2 linked regions of the Lonchura striata genome follow. The protein of the gene in region 2 interacts with the protein of the main gene of each other region in a pairwise test. Links are inferred from orthologs where the notes say so. Each region holds a gene or a part of one and is shown on either strand. Other genes may lie near its edges.

What was found. The genes of interacting proteins can lie anywhere in the genome.
Region 1: the proteins of FLII (region 2) and LRRFIP1 interact in binary tests that used the Homo sapiens proteins (3 or more experiments, as listed by UniProt). The link is inferred for Lonchura striata from reciprocal best matches to the Homo sapiens genes FLII and LRRFIP1.

Annotation. Positions count from the first base shown.
Region 1 is NC_134610.1:38,486,065-38,494,255, reverse strand, and holds the start of LRRFIP1 (leucine-rich repeat flightless-interacting protein 1), read right to left. Parts: upstream 3,012-8,191; 5' UTR 2,918-3,011; coding exon 2,828-2,917; intron 1-2,827.
Region 2 is NC_134618.1:15,741,601-15,749,067, forward strand, and holds the start of FLII (protein flightless-1 homolog), read right to left. Parts: upstream 3,267-7,467; 5' UTR 3,223-3,266; coding exon 3,160-3,222; intron 2,148-3,159; coding exon 2,037-2,147; intron 1,061-2,036; coding exon 989-1,060; intron 862-988; coding exon 781-861; intron 499-780; coding exon 413-498; intron 271-412; coding exon 109-270; intron 3-108; coding exon 1-2. Other genes in the region: MIEF2 (mitochondrial dynamics protein MID49), read left to right, coding at 4,045-4,212, 4,656-4,833, 5,809-6,854. UniProt on the Homo sapiens protein: Is a regulator of actin polymerization, required for proper myofibril organization and regulation of the length of sarcomeric thin filaments. It also plays a role in the assembly of cardiomyocyte cell adhesion complexes.

The DNA.
Region 1 (8,191 bases), on a different chromosome or scaffold from region 2:
AATCCAAACAAATTTATGTTCAAATGGCAGGAGCTTCACAAAGTCCTTGCAAGTCTTGCTGTCTTCCTATAGGAGCACGTAGTAAAGTGAGAACTGTGGGTTTGCCAAAATATCCTGACAACCACAAAATAAAAGGTACCTCTGTGAATCAGTCTAGTTTGGATGCTCTCTTGGGCTCCCATATGGACACAGGGAAAATGAGACTCTAGGATCTGCAAATAACTTGCCATCACCTCTGGCTTCTGGATAACAAAGCCAAGAGAGGAGTGAAAAATCTATGTGCAAAAGCAATGTGTCTGTGTCCCAGCTTTGCCTAAACACCTGTGAGGAAGGCTGGAAGAGCCAAAATATCAGTAACCCTCCCACCTTCTTAACATGGAGGCTCTCAACATTCCTGCTAAGGAGAGACAAAAGGCTTAGTTGACATATTCTGGATCATACAGAAGGATTCATGTGGGATCCTTTGTGTGGAGAGCAGGCAGTTAAACAACAAAACAATTAAAGTGCTCCAAGACAGAGTAATGCAAATAGATAAAATAATATGGGAAAATGCTGAACCTTGAACTTGGCAGTTCACAGTTTTAGCACTCAAGGGAAAAGATAAAAGACATGCTTGTGTTGGGCTTTTTGAGCAAATGGAGTTGTCCTTTAAACAAACCCCAGGAGAAGGAAGGGGAAAAAAAAAAGCCACAAACCACCACAACATTTGAGTCCTCAAACCATTACACAATGCAGTGAAAAGCAGATCTAAGATAAAGAAAATAGAAAGTGGGAGAAAAACGTGCAACAGAAAAGAGCAGCTGGGTTCCTTGTTAGACTAATGTCTTCCTTGATCAAATGACAGCACAGTCCGGACACATTTGTGGAATTCAAACCCTCATCCCAAACAATTCTTAGGATAGTATCATGACTCTAGCAGGCAGCACAATCACTCTTACTTGCTATCTTATGTCCAGGACATGAGACATTCTTGTCCTCCTACCTCAAACTCCACCCTTGGGAACCTTCTCATCACCCTGCCACAAAAATCTGCCTTCAGAGAACACACTGTCTGAATCACTCACACAAAACTCTGCTGGATGTACTCCAAAGATGCTACAAACCACCAGAAAATGGTGCACAACAACTGGAAAGGCACCGGTGGTAATGAGGAGCACAGTGTCACAGCCTCAACCTACCAGCCAGTGCCACCAAAAAATAAGCCATACATTAGCATTCATCTGATCCTGCCGCAGCCCTAGATCAGGAAAGGAAACCAAGAGAGACCTAAAACTCTTCCAGAAGAGTAATTTATCTTGTAACCCATCTTGAGGTCACACCAGCACCAGGTGGGCTGACACACATAACCCATGCTAGGGGAAGAGGACAGCCACTTTCAGCAGCAGCACTGGAGCAGTTCAGACACTGAATCACAAAATGGTTTGGGTTGGAAGGGACCTCAGATCAACCCTGTGCCATGGGCAGGGACACCTTCCACCAGACCAGGTTCCTCAGAGCTCCATCCAACCTGACCTTGGACACTGCCAGGGATGGGGCAGCCACAGCTTCTCGGGGCAACCTGTGCCAGGGCCTCCCCACCCTCACAGGGAAGAAGAATTTCTCCCTAATATCCCATCTAACCCTGGTCTTTTTCAGTCTGAATCCATTCCCCCTTGTCCTGTCCTACGTGCTCCTGTAAACTCCAGGATATTCCTTGCCATCTTTCTCGTAGGTTTCCTACTGGAGAAGAACCTCAGGGCTGCTTATCCCCCTTTCCCCATTGGAGGATGGCCACAGCAAGGATGGAGAAGAGACTTTGTCAGATTTAGTAAACATAAAAAACCGAATTCACATTATCTTCGTTACCACTGAACCAATTTAAGTGTGCATAAGAATAAGGAGGCAGGAAGCATCAGCAATCAGCTGGTTTAGAAGGTTAAAGTCACATTGAGCACAATGCAGCATCTGGTGGGCAGCAATATAAAAATCCGTTTCCAAGTTAGAGGGGTCACTTATGCCCACACCCAGCACCACCTTGCAGTATTCTGGTTTTAATTTTTCACTCTCATCCCCGGAAGCGTTCCAGGCCAGCCTGGATGTGGCTCGGAGCAACCTGCTCCAGTGGAAGGTGTTTCACTGCAGGGAGCTTGGAACGAGATGCTCTTTGGGATCCCTTCCAACCCAAACCACGCTGTGATTCTATGATTTATACCTATCCATACCACACCCGAGCGGCCTATTTTCAGTGGTTAACACCAGTCGCAGCGGCTCTCAGCAGCAGTGGCGATGGACATCCAGCCGAGGGGCTGGAGCGGGGCGGCCCCGGTAGCGCACGCCCGTCCCTCACGGGCGGCCGGAGCGGAGCCCGGGCAGGGGGCACGGGCGGGGTGAAGCGGGGCTGCCAGCTCGCCCGGGCATGGGGGTACAGGCGGGGTGAAGCGGGGCTGCCAGCTCGCCCGGGGATGGGGGCACGGGCGGGGTGAAGCAGGGCTGCCAGCTCGCCCGGGGATGGGGGCACGGGCGGGGTGAAGCGGGGCTGCCAGCTCGCCCGGGGATGGGGGCACGGGCGGGGTGAAGCGGGGCTGCCAGCTCGCCCGGGCATGGGGGCACAGGCGGGGTGAAGCGGGGTTTCCAGCTCGCCCGGGCATGGGGGCACAGGCGGGGTGAAGCGGGGTTTCCAGCTCGCCCGGGCATGGGGGCACAGGCGGGGTGAAGCGGGGCTGCCAGCTCGCCCTTGAGCCGCCGCGGTGCCGGGGGCGCCTGCGCGGCGCTCGGGGGAGCCCGGGAGGGAAGGCGAGGGGAGGAGGATGGAGAAGGCAGAAGGGGGATGCCGCCTCCCGCCGCTCACCTCGCGGGCGATCTGGTTGAGCGCATCGTCCTCCGCCGTCAGGCGCTCCCGGTTCGGTAGCCGCTTGCGTCCGGCGCCCGGCGTCCCCATGGCGAGGCGGTCCCGGCCTGGCCCGGAGCGCAGCCGAACCCGGACCCGCTGCCCGCCGGCCCCGAGCGACCCTCCCGCTCCCTCCGCCGCCTCCGCGGCGCGGCCGTTACCGCCCCCCGCCCCGCGCATGCGCCGCCGCCCCCCGCCCTGAGGGGACGGGCCGCCTCACGCCAGCCCGAACCCGGGCTGGGGGTGCCCGCCCGCGGACCCCGCACCGAGCCCGGCTGTGCTCGGGCCCCCCGCCCGCTGCCCTGACACCGAGCCCGGGCTGTGTTCGGGGCTCTTTGCCCCCTGCCCTCGCACCGAGCCCGGCTGTGTTCGGGCCCCCCGCCCGCGGACCTCGCACCGAGCCCGGCTGTGTTCGGGCTCCCCGCCCGCTGCCCTGACACCGAGCCCGGCTGTGCTCGGGCCCCCCGCCCGCTGCCCTGACACCGAGCCCGGGCTGTGTTCGGGGCTCTTTGCCCCCTGCCCTCGCACCGAGCCCGGCTGTGTTCGGGCCCCCCGCCCGCGGACCTCGCACCGAGCCCGGCTGTGTTCGGGGCTCCCCGCCCGCTGCCCTCAGCGCCCGATATGGTGTGTGGGCCCGTGCTCGCTGCTATCACCACCCAAAATTGGGGTGTCTGTGGGATTCCTCCTCACTCCCATCACCACCCAAAATTGGGGTGTCTGTGGGATTCCTCCTCACTCCCATCACCACCCAAAATTGGAGTGTGTTTGGGGGTCTCTGCTCTGACCGCCTGAATTGGGGGGGGGGGGGGTTAAGGGACCCTGCTCGCTGTCCTCGCTATGCAAAATCAATGTGAATGTGTTTGTGGGATGGTCCCTGCTCACTCTCCTCACCACCCAAAATCGGGATGTGTGGGGTTCCCTTCCTACTCCCCCAGCCCCACTGTGGACCAACCCCCTTCCCACTGGGGCCCTTGGGCTGCCTGCCAAGCTGTGGGAAATGACAGAATCCCAGAATGGGTCAAGTTGGATGTGACCACAAAGGGTCATCTGGTCCAACCTCCCTGTTCCAGCCGGGTCATCCCAGAGCACAGGGCACAGGATTGTGTCTGGATGGCTCTGGAATATCCCCAGTGAGGGAGACTCCAAGGCCTCCCTGGACACTGTCCACTGCTTGGTCACTGCCCAGGGAAGAATTTCTGCCTCCTGCTCAGGTGGAACTCCTGGGCATCAGCATCTGCCTGTTCCTCGTGTCCCACTGCTGGGCCTCGTGGAGCAGAGCCTGGCCCATGCTCTGGAATATCCAGATATAGAAATATCCACCCTTTGGATATTTACACACATTACAGAGGTCCCCTCAGCTGTGACTCCTCTTGAGGAACCCCAGCTCCCTCAGCCTTTCCTCCTCAGAGATGCTCCAATCCCTTCATCACCTCCAGCCTCTGCTGGACCCCCTCCAGGAGCTCTGCCTCTCTTGTCCTGAGGAGCCCAGATCCGCATGCAGTAAATTTACCAGAAATCATGGAAATGGGCATCAAAACCTTGCCAGTTGTAAAGCTGGGGGGTTCCTCCCCCCCAAATAGAGGGGGAGCAGGACAGAAACAAAGACTCCTTGTGCCTGACACCTTACACAGCTTCATAGCCCTGTGGGGTCTCTCCAACAATGAATTTTCCTACTAAGTGTAAGTGGACGTGATTAATTTTAGTTTCAAGTACATCAGTGCTTAATTAATTCACATTGACAAGGTACATGTATTTTCTGGGATTCCTGTCACAGCCCTTGCACCTCAATTTTCACGCTAGTTCCCTAAATATGAATTAAAGAGGCTAAGCTCACATTATTACATAGACGGGGAAAGAGGCTACAAATCCCACCCACTCCCTTCTGACCAGAAAGCTGCATTTAATCTTTATGATTTAATTTTACCATTGATTTAAACTTGATTGAAATAATAAGCAACACTTGCCCACTCAGTATTTCTTGTCAGTTTTCATGTACAACACCTGAGATTTGAATCATCCTCAGACTGACTGGGTAATATACTGCATCGATGGTGCTCCTTGTACCTGGGACTATTTATCTTTGCAAGAATCAAATTATTATTTTGTCAGCAGAAGCAGATGGATGAGTCCCCCACCTTGCTTGGGCAGCAGAACGCATCACACCCTCAGATTTGGTGTCAGGTTTACTCTGACCCCACACAAGTGGATTAAAAAGGACTTGCTTTTTGCTTCGCAAGGCAGCACAAGGGCTTTCAACTGAGCTCTCACCCTGGAGGCAAAGCTCACTGGGTCTGGTTTTCCTAGATATCCCTCAGGCTTCCCTTCTTCACCTCCCCAAGCCCTGGCTTAGCACTACCACCCTTTCAGGCTCTACATAACTCATTCCCTGAGCCCTTATCCTTGCATTTGCCCCTGCCCTTTGAGGAATTCTGGCTAGAGAGGCGGGGCAGTGCCTTATTTTTAGGTCCCTGTTACCCAGAGATTTTGGCCACCTGTGCAGCTGCATCACGGTATCCATGCAAGGAATTTCCCCGTTCAGGGGTGCAGTAGGATTTGCATCAGTGCTGTCTGCCTGCCTGGCTGAAAGCCTTGCAGAGCCTTGGGCTAGGCAGGTTTTTTTGTCCAAAAACTGGCTATTGAGGTGACAAAGGGAAGGGGAGGAAAAATAGAGGGGAAATAGAAATCTCGGGGGGCAAAGGGGGAGGAGAGGGGAAGAGAAATACAAGGGAAGGATTAAAGAAATGTCTGGGAGAAAGAGAGAGGAAAGAAACAGAGAGGAAAAAAAGAAATCCAGTGGAAAGATGGGAAAGGGGGAGAAGAAAGAAATAGAGCAGGGTAGAAAGGAAGAAATAGACAAAGGAAGTACAGGGCAAGGGGAAAAGAAAGATGGAGGAGGGAAGGAAGAATTAAAAGATTAAAGCAGAGAAACTGGAAGAGAACACGCTGGTGGGTGACTGCAGTGAGATTTCAAATCACTCACTGAATGCACTCTGCAGTGTAAGAAATCCTTCTCTTTCCCTGCATTCCAGACACACACAGTAAGTTTTTTTTTTAAATATAGACAAAATAAGCCATCTTGTTATAAAAATACTATACATAGATAATTTGTCCAGATAAATTTGAAATAATGGTGCAAACCACGTTGGTTTTGGCTGCACTGTGAAGAGCAGTGAGTGCAAATGAAACACTGAAAATAAAACACTTATTTTAACAAGCAACACAAGGGCGAGGCTAGTTTTGTCTGGAAGTCATGACTGTGATGAATGATAGTCGGACAACACTGAGTATCCCATGCCAGTTTTAAAGGGCTCTATTATTAAGTGAATAATACATCCCTCATTCTCCAGTATCCTGTGTCCAAGGAGGCTGCTTTGTGCAGAGCACACCCTAAAAGATACAATTTTCCCTCTGTGCTGCTCTTAAACCAAACCCTCTTGTAAAACCCCACTGTTGAGAATCAGAACAAGCAATCAGCTGTTCAAACTGGTGGTGGTGTACTTGAGGAACCTCTTTTACATAATGAAATGGATGTTTTTGTGTCCTGGAAAGGAAAATGTGATTACATTTATATTAGAGGCAAGCCTTGGAATGGGGGAATCCAGTGGCTGAGTGTGTGAAAAGAAAGCACAAGGGCACCTCTCCACTCCACTGTAAGGTCATGACATCTGCCAAATCAGAAATTAAGCCTGGCAGCTTTAACAAGTTGTCCATTTGTCCAAGGAGAGTGGAATGCTTTAAAAACCTTGGAAAATCCAACTGAGGAGGCCAAAATTTGAGATTGTCAGGATACATGAGATGAGCAGGGCTCCATTAGCATTGCGATATTTTGCAAACATAACAGCAGTGGTATCCTGCAGGCTCTACAGAATTTATTAATGGAAAAAAATTACATCACAGACAAGTATGTGCTGGCACAGAAATTCTGCAGGAAAATGAAAAAAAAAAACACTTGTGCAACCAAGGTGATCCTCCCCAGCAAATCAGACCTCCTGGGAAAATCTTTCAGGTGTGTTGCCACATCTGAGCAGTGTCAAGACAGGGATGAGGGGACTGGTGGTGTCCATGTGTACTTTGCCTGGATGAAATTCCTTACTGTTATTCCATCTCTTCAAGTCAGCAGGGTCATTATTTGCATCAGCAGAGCTCTGGTCCTTTGGGAGCCTTGCTTAGCTTTGTCATGTCTAGCCTGGAGTTTGTAGTCACACAGCAAAGCCAGAACTGATTAGTGTCTTCCCAGCTGGTCCAAAAAAGAGATCCATGGGCTTGGGTTGGCCAGGGAGAATATTGTGGGCTTCCAAGCCAAGCTTTAGGAGGATGGGAGAAAAAAAAATCCCACAACAGCAGCAGCCCTTGATTGCTTTTACCAACAGCATGATGTGGGTTTTTTCTGAAAAAAGCTTATTGGTTGACTTCATCTTGCCAAAACCCCTTAATGAGTTATTGGCCTCTTTAATCACCTTAGCATGCCATGAGAGATAGTTTTCCATTTGTGAATTTTTCACAGGTCACTAAAGATGCCACTTTGGGGAGCTCGAGGTCTCAGCATTGGATCACTTTTAGGGTTGAGGAAGAATCTTCCCTTGGAGTGAATTTTTCAAAGGTTAACCTCGGGGTTAACCTTTGAAAAAGTGATTTCATTTAGTATTTTCTTGTGTACCCTGGCACAAGCAGGACAGCACTAATGAAATAAACCAATGACACAGAGTTGAAGTGTCACCAAAAAAGAAGGGTAAAGTCATACAACAGGTTAAGGACTTGAGAAACAAGTAGAGTGAAATCAAGCAGACAGCCAATACCATGCCAGAGGCTAAATTCATGATCTCACCAATTGTTAATATGGGAAAAGGAGGAAATGCTGGGATCACAAACTGCCTATGGGTTGGTTGCGTGCCACCATCACAACAGAAACACCAAAACACTGCATTTGAGAGCACTTCAATAAAGGGTCATTGCACAATCATTGCAAGACTTTACCTAAAATGGTGCCACAAGCCTGCTTTTTCATATTAAAAATAAATCAAACTTGAATAGCTGTGGAGAAAAAAGCTCCTAGGATAAGCAGCAGGAGGACTTTACTGAGATGAGGAGGAGTTGGCTTGTGTGTTCACAGTGCATCTCTCTTCTATGAAGTCCTTCGGAGATAAGTGGGATGGGGATGACGCTATGTAAAGCTTAAAGCCAAGTCAGCACAAAAGCAAACAGCTAAACAGAAAATGTATAATTCTAGTGGATAGCAGAGATTTCTTGCCAAATTTCTGAACATGCACCCCAAAAAAGCTTGTGAGTGGGTATGTCAAGTCTGTGGTAAGCACTACCCTGAGGGTC
Region 2 (7,467 bases):
GCCTGAGGACCAGGGAGAGCCACAGGGCAGAGGGAGTGTCAGGATGGAGCAGGGAGCTCAGTGCCAGCCCTGCCAGGCTGGGAGGCAGCCCGGGGAGCGGGGCCGTACCGCAGCTGCGCATGCAGGAGGGGGTTGTTGTTGAGGATGAGGGTCTGCAGGTGCACCAGGCGCCTCATCTGTGGTGGGAGACTCTCCAGCTTGTTGTCGCTCAGGTCCAGGTAGAGCAGGTCCGTCAGGTTGATGAAGAGCTGGTTGGGGATGGTGTCGATGCTGCAGGGATGTGGGGAAATTCAGGAGTGCCTAGGATCTGCACCAGCCCCGGATCTCCCTCGAGGAGGGGCAGAGAACAGGACCCAGAGCAAAATGTGGCCATGGCCAGGATGGGGAGATGGTTATTCTAGCCTGAACCCACCTGTTGTGGCCAAGGTTAAGGACCAGCATGTTCTTGGCATTCTCCAGCTCCCTGGGACACTCTGTGAGCTGGTTGTAGCTCAGGTCCTGGGAAAGGGGGAGCACAAAGCAGTTGTCACCCAGCCACCACCACCCACACCTCCAGGGAGCTGGACCAGCACACAGGGAACCCAGGGAGCCCTTCCATGGCATCAGCCTTTAAAGGAGACATTGCCAGAGGGTCACCCTGCCGACAGCCAGCTTCCCTGGAGCTCAGCCATGGGCTTGCGACTGCTGCTCCCAAGGAACACAAGGAGCCACCACGGTGCAGCAAAGGGACCCAGGAGTCTGAGCTGGCTCCTGTATAAGCTGAGAAGAATCTGCACCCACCAGCACCGAGAGGTCATCCAGCTGGAAAATGTCATCAGGGACTCCCGAGTTCTTCAGGCTGTTTGCACGAGCCACAATTGCCTGCAGAGGGGAGAGAGGCAGGAATGCAGCTGCCTGCGGAGCCCCCAGGGTGCCCAGGTATGATCTTGGTGTGCCCTCAGATCCCAGAGGTGCCTGGGGACCCCTGAGGCAGGAGGGGGACACTCACCCGGAGGCAGGGCAGGCCGGAGAGCTCTCCATGGAGCGTGGTGAGGCTGTTGTGGCTCACGGAGAGGTGTTCCTGCAGGGAAGTCCCAGACAAGCCCCAGTGAGCAGAGAGAGGAGCTGGGGCTGTGCAGGGCAAAGGCTGTGCCCCAACATTGATGTGGAGGCTCCTCCATCCCAGGAGAGTTGGGGACTTGTCACCCACAGAGCTGCTGGGACACTCCCAGTCTCAAACTGGTTGGTTGGCCCAGTGTGCCTGCGCTGCCTCCACATCCCTCATCCCCTGCACACCTCAGCCCTGCCGTGGGGTTTGGGGTGCTCTGGGATGCCCACACAAACAGATCCCAGTCCTTGGGAACGGGCAGACGTGGGCACTGCTGGGGTGGGAGGAATTCCCCTGGGGAAATGTTTTCCTCTGAGCATCACCAGCCCGGCTGTTGCCTGCTCAGGAACACACGGCATTGGCAGGCTGTGGGTGGGATGCCAGGATTTCAGTCTTGCTGTGGCCCCCGAGCACCTGGCAGGGCTGGCAGGAGTGGCACTGAGGGATTCCCTGGCAGCGATTAAAGCACTCAGTTTGTGTGACACGGACAGGATGAGGTCCCTGATGTGCTGTGGACACCACCAAAGCCAAGCTGAGCCTTGACTCCAGCAAGGGCCTGGGTGAACCACCCGAAAAACAAAGCCAGACAGCTGCCAGCTCCTGCTTTTTACATACTTTAGCAAAGAAGAAGGAAAAAAAGCCCCCAAACCCTTGATTGTCCCCACTGTAACCATCACCCTTCCCTTCTACTACAGGGTAGAGGATCTAAGCGTGGTTTTTAATCTGGTTTTCTAGGAAAACAAGGTGAAACTGAGAGCAAGCCCACTCCAAACCCACTCCTGACAGCTCCTGCATCCCATTTCAACCACACATTGCAGCTCAGTGCTATTATTAGACACTGGAGCACCCGCTGCTGAGCCACGAGGCTGGCAGGGAACAGGCTCCCGTGGGATCCTACGGTCCCAGCGGGATAGGGGAGCCCCATTCCATCCCAGAACACGGGGCTCACCAGCTTCTGGAGGGCAGCGAGCTCCTCGGGCAGGTAACAGAGCCCCGTGCGGTTCAGCTTCAGCCAGCGCAGGCTGGTCATCGCCTTCACATGCTCCGGGAAGTACCCGCCCTGCGAGGAGGAGGAGGAGGAAGAGGGTGAGGAAACACCTGTCCCACGGGATGAGGATCTGGGGACCTCAGTCTGATTGAGGCTCTGTGGTCATGGGAGGTCTGGGATCGTGCAGTCCTATGGGCTGGAAAGTGTGGGGTCACGATGACCCAGTCCTAAGGGACTGGGAGCTGTGGGGTTGGGATGAAGCAGTCCCATAAAATTGGGAATTAGAGGGCTGGGATCACCCCGTCCTAGGGGCCTGGGAGCTGGGGGCCATGGAAACCCAGTCCTACGGGACTGGGAGCTGGGATCGCCCGGTCCTATGGGAGCGGGAGCTGGGATCGCCCAGTTCTACGGAACCGGGAGCTGGGATCGCCCAGTCCTACGGGAGCGGGAGCTGGGATCGCCCAGTCCTATGGGATTGGGACGGATCACCCAGTCCTACAGGATCGGGAGCTGGGATCGCCCAGTCCTATGGGACTGGGACGGATCGCCCAGTCCGATGGGATCGGGAGCTGAGATCGCCCAGTTCTACGGGACCGGGAGCTGGGATCGCCCAGTTCTACGGGACCGGGAGCTGAGATCGCCCAGTTCTACGGGACCGGGAGCTGGGATCGCCCGGTCCTACGGGATCGGGAGCTGGGATCGCTCAGTTCTACGGGATCGGGAGCTGGGATCGCTCAGTTCTACGGGATCGGGAGCTGGGATCGCTCAGTTCTACGGGACCGGGAGCTGGGATCGCCCGGTCCTATGGGACCGGGAGCTGGAGGCTCGGGGATCTCCGATCTCCCTGGGACCCCCTGGGCTGAGGGCCGGGTTGCTCAACCCCAGCGGTTCGATGTGGGTCAGGGATCGCCCCCGCAGCGCCCACAGCGCCGGGACCGGGACTGCCCCAGGTCACCCACCCCGGGCGGGGCCGGGGCCGGGCTTCCCCTGCCCCGGGGGCCGAGCCAGGCCTGACAACCCCGCGGGGCCCGGGCCCGCTGGGGCGCTGCGGGCCGGGCTGTGCCCCGCTCCCGCCGCCCCGCACCTTGAAGTCGTTGCCGCTGAGATCGACGCCGCGGACGAAGGGCAGGACGCCGGTGGCCGCCATGGCGGAAGCGCGGGGGGCGGCGCGCGGTGCCGCGCCCCGCCAGGCCCCGCCCGCGCCCGCCCCGGCCGTGACGCGCGCGGCGCCTGGCGCCACTTCCGCGCGCTGTGGGCGGGGCCGCGCCGCCGCGCGCTCCCATTGGCCGGGGCCGCGGCGGGAGCGCGCGCGGAGCGCGGCGCGGGGGCGCGCGCGGGCAGCGCCGGGCCCGGCCCGGCCCGGTCCGGTCCCGGTTCTGGTTCTGGTGCCGGTGCCGGTCCCGGTGCTGGTTCTGGTTCTGGTGCCGCCTCCCCTCCGTCAGTAGGGTCGGGGGGGGGCTCCCTTCCCGCGGGCCGCGGTATCGCCCCGGTGCCCCGCGAGGCTTTGCGGTAGGGCTGGGTGAGGAGCGGGTGTCCCTTCCTTCCCCGGGATGTTTCCTTCCCCGGGGTGTCCCTCCCTTCCCCGCGGTGTCCCTTCCCTTCGGTGTCCGTCCTTTCCTTCCCCGGGGGTGTCCCTTCCTTCCCTGGGTGTCCCTTCCCTTCGGTGTCCCTTCTTCCCTGCGGTGTCCCTCCCTCCTTGCGGTGTCCCTTCCCTGGGGTGTCCGTCCCTTTTTTCCCGGGGGTGTCCCTTCCCCGGGTGTCCCTCCCCGGGGTGTCCCTTCCCCCGGTGACCCTTGCTCCCTCGCCGCACCCAGCCGTCCCGCCGCCGCCGGCGGGAGCCTTTATCCCGGAGGAGAGCGGGCCGGCGGAACCCTTTGTTCCCCAAACCATCCCACCCTGCGGCTGTGCCTGTCCCGGGGTGACAGGTCCCCCAGCCCGGGGTGACTCTCCTGTTCTCCGCAGGGCGACCATGGCGGCGTTTTGGCAGCAGCGGGGCCGGCGGCAGGAGAGCGGCGGGCTGGGCGCTGTCCTCGACGGGCTGGGCAGCGTGTTCGATGTGCTGCTGGCCAACGCCAGGCTGGTGCTGGGCGTCAGCGGCGCGGCCGTGCTGGCCATCGCCACGCTGGCTGTCAAGAGGGTAAGGCTGGGTCTGGGAATAGAGCACCAGGAGATGCTCAGGAGGGCTGGGTTGGTTCCAGTGTGGTGGGGCAAGATGTGTCCCAAATTCTTTATGTTCTCTCCTGAGCTGGTTCCTTGCACGTGGCACAAATGCCACGGGTGCTGGAAGCAGTGCCGTGGACATGGAGCTGCCTGCTTCCATCCTGTGGGACCATGTATGCATGTTCTGTTTGCCTGGAGCATTTTGCATACAGTATCCCATCCCAAAAGGCACCTGGGACCTAAATTGTATTTGGGAATCTGTTTTCCATGTAAAACCTGCAGGAAGATGATGTGCACACTCATGGCCCCCAAAACTGGGTGTTTTTCTGAGCAGAAGCCTTGAGTGGGGCTGTCGCCTCACCTGTAATTCATGGAAAACAAAGATAACATCTTGTCCTCTTGGCTTTTCCTTCCCTCCAGCTGATCGACCGAGCCACCAGCCCTCGGGATGAGGGCGACCCCAAAGCTGAGCAGAAATCCCTGGAGGAGAGCTGGCAGGACTTGGCATTGATCAAGACAACACCAAAACCCCCCAAGAAGCAGAGAAGGGAAGATCTCAGTGAGCCTCTGCTCTCTCCAGCTCGGCCTCTGGTGCCAGGTGAGGTTCCTGGTGCCCAGGAGGATCACCTTGGTGTGCTCCGGGAGCTCCACGTTATTTTTAGCTCGCTGTCGGAAAGCCGAGCCCACTGAGCCTGCCCTGCTGGGAGGCTCCCAAGCCACGGCCCCTTTTTAGGCAATGCCAGCGGAAACAGGACCTCTGGTGACATCCGGAGTGGCCTGGCAGAGGGTGTTGGGGTTTGTTTCCTCTGGAGCAGCGTTGGCTGTGCTAGTTTTCTGGGTCAGCTGTGCCTGCAGGAAGGTGTGCTCAGGAGCTGCTGCAAACAAAGGCTGCCTTGTCCAGCTGCCCATGGAGATGGAGCTTTTCCAAGTGGGAAACTGGCCCAGTTCAGTCCAGGGCATGTCCTGAGATAATGGACCCAGAGCAGGATTGTCTGTAGGATCCTCATGCGAGGGGCAGGCACTGATCTCTCTGGTGACCACTGACAGGACATGAGGGAACAGCAGCAGCTGTGTCAGGGAGGGTTTAGGTTGGATATTAGGAAAAAGATTCTTCCCCCAGAGGGTGCTGGGCACTGCCCAGGCTCCCCAGGGAATGGTTGTGCCCCCAAGGCTGCCAGAGCTGCAGGAGCATTTGGACACTGCTCTCAGGCACAGGGTGGGATTGTTGGGGTGTCTGTGCAGGGCCAGGAGTTGGACTGGATGATTTTCGTGGGTCCTTTCCAACTCAGTGTATTCTGTGGTTCTCTGACCCTGGCAGCAAGTCCCTTGCCTGGTTCCCATCTCTGGCTGAGGAGTGAGGCTGGGAACAGCCAGATTTGGGGTTGGTTTGGGCTCTGCATGGCTGAGAAGTGCTGTTAACATCAGTGAGCTCAATGGGGGCCCTTGCTGAGGTCGGTGTCACCTCCAGAGGGGTGGGCTGAGAGCTGGGCACCCAACTCATGCCTTCCCCTCTGCTGCTGAGGCTTTCAGATGATGTGCTCAGAGCTGTGACTTCTCCTTTCCCTTCCCACAGATCCCAGGGGCTTCTCTGCCTCTCTGGGGGCTCCTCAGGTCAAGCCCAGCCCCCTGCGCTGTCTCACGCTGCAGGAGAAGCTCCTCTCACACAGCAGCCAGCTGGCCGTGCCCGAGATCCAAGTGTCCCTCGTCCCACAGCTGGCCAGGAGCATCTGCACCCAGCTGCAGAACTTCCTGAGGAGCAAGTGCCCGGAGCTGCCCTTTGGCCGCCTCTTCCTCAGCGGAGCCCTGCTCGATGGCCTCGAGGTCCTGGCAGCTGACCACATCCACCTCATGCTCCCGGTGGTCCTCGACGCCGGGCTCTGGAGCCTCATCTCGGGAGAGGACACCGTGGTGAGGAGCCCCCAGTACTGGATGATCAAGAGGATCGATCTGGGCTACTTCCCTCGTGGGTGCAGCCCCTGGGACAGGTTCATGGTGGGCCGGTACCTCTCGTCCAGCGTGATCAACGAGACCCTCCACAAGCTGCTGGTGGCCTCCATCAACTGGCCTGCCATCGGTGGCCTGCTGGGCTGTGCCATCCACCCTGTGGTGGCCTCCCGGGAGCTGAAGCTGGAAGTCAAACATGATCAGGTTGATCTGAGCATCACCCTCTTCCCAGTGGTGGAAATGGAGGACAAGGTTCTTCTGGCTGTTCCTCCTGAAGGACTGGTGGAAAACCTCTGGCTGGAGAGTTTTTACAGGGCGGAGGTCTCGAGGGTGAAGGAGCTGGACGCTGGTGACGCCGGGGCTCGGCAGCTCTGCCTGCGCATCCTCAACAGCATCTGCAAGAGCCAGCCCAGCCTGCACAAACTGGGGGGCAGCCCCATGGCCCATGTCATCCTGCACCTCAGTGACACTGCTGTGGACTGGGCAGAGGAGAGCCTTGCTGACAGGTTCCAGCAGCTGCTTGAGGAGCTGGTGGCTTCCCTGGAGAAAGGAGTCCTGCCTTGCTATTTCAACCCCAAAATCAACCTGTTCTCCAGGCTGTTGGAAGAGGAAATTGATGAGATGGGCTTTGTGCTCTACAGGGCCATATCTGAGCCAGAGGTCCTGCTGAAGTGACCGGTGTGTTGGGAGCTCCTGAACGTGGGGGGGTTGCTCCCTGCCTGCTGCTCCCCGCTGTGAGGGCTGTGATGCTTCTAGTTGACTAGTCAGTAAGAGGCAAAGTTCTTGCACTTTATGAGGAAAAAACCGGTTTCCTGTGTGAATAAAGCGTGCCTGAGCAGAGGTGGGTGCTGGCAGAAGGAGCCTTGGGCTCAGAGGCTCTGCTGAACCCGGGCTGAGGGCAGCCCACGCCACACGTGTGAGTTCTGTCTGCTGGGAGCCCAGTGAAGCATGTTTGGTCTCTGGCTCCCAGTGTCTTCTGCCTATCCCAGCTGTCAGGTTGCCCCTCAGGCTCTGAGAGTAGCTGGAGAGGAGCAGCCCCTTCCTGCTGCTGTGTCCTGCAGAGCCCTCAGGTGCCACGTCCTGGGCTGGTCCTGTCACCAGCACCCTGCGTGGCCTCGCTGTGCCAGCACTTGGGGCAGGGGGAGCCTCACCCACCCGCAGGATTTTGCCAATCCCAAATAAACCCTGTGGATGAGCTGGGTGCTGGGTGGTACAGCCATAGCAAATGGGGGATGGGGGTTATTCCTTGGAAACCCTTCCAGAAGGGGCAAGCTCAGCCCTACCTCTT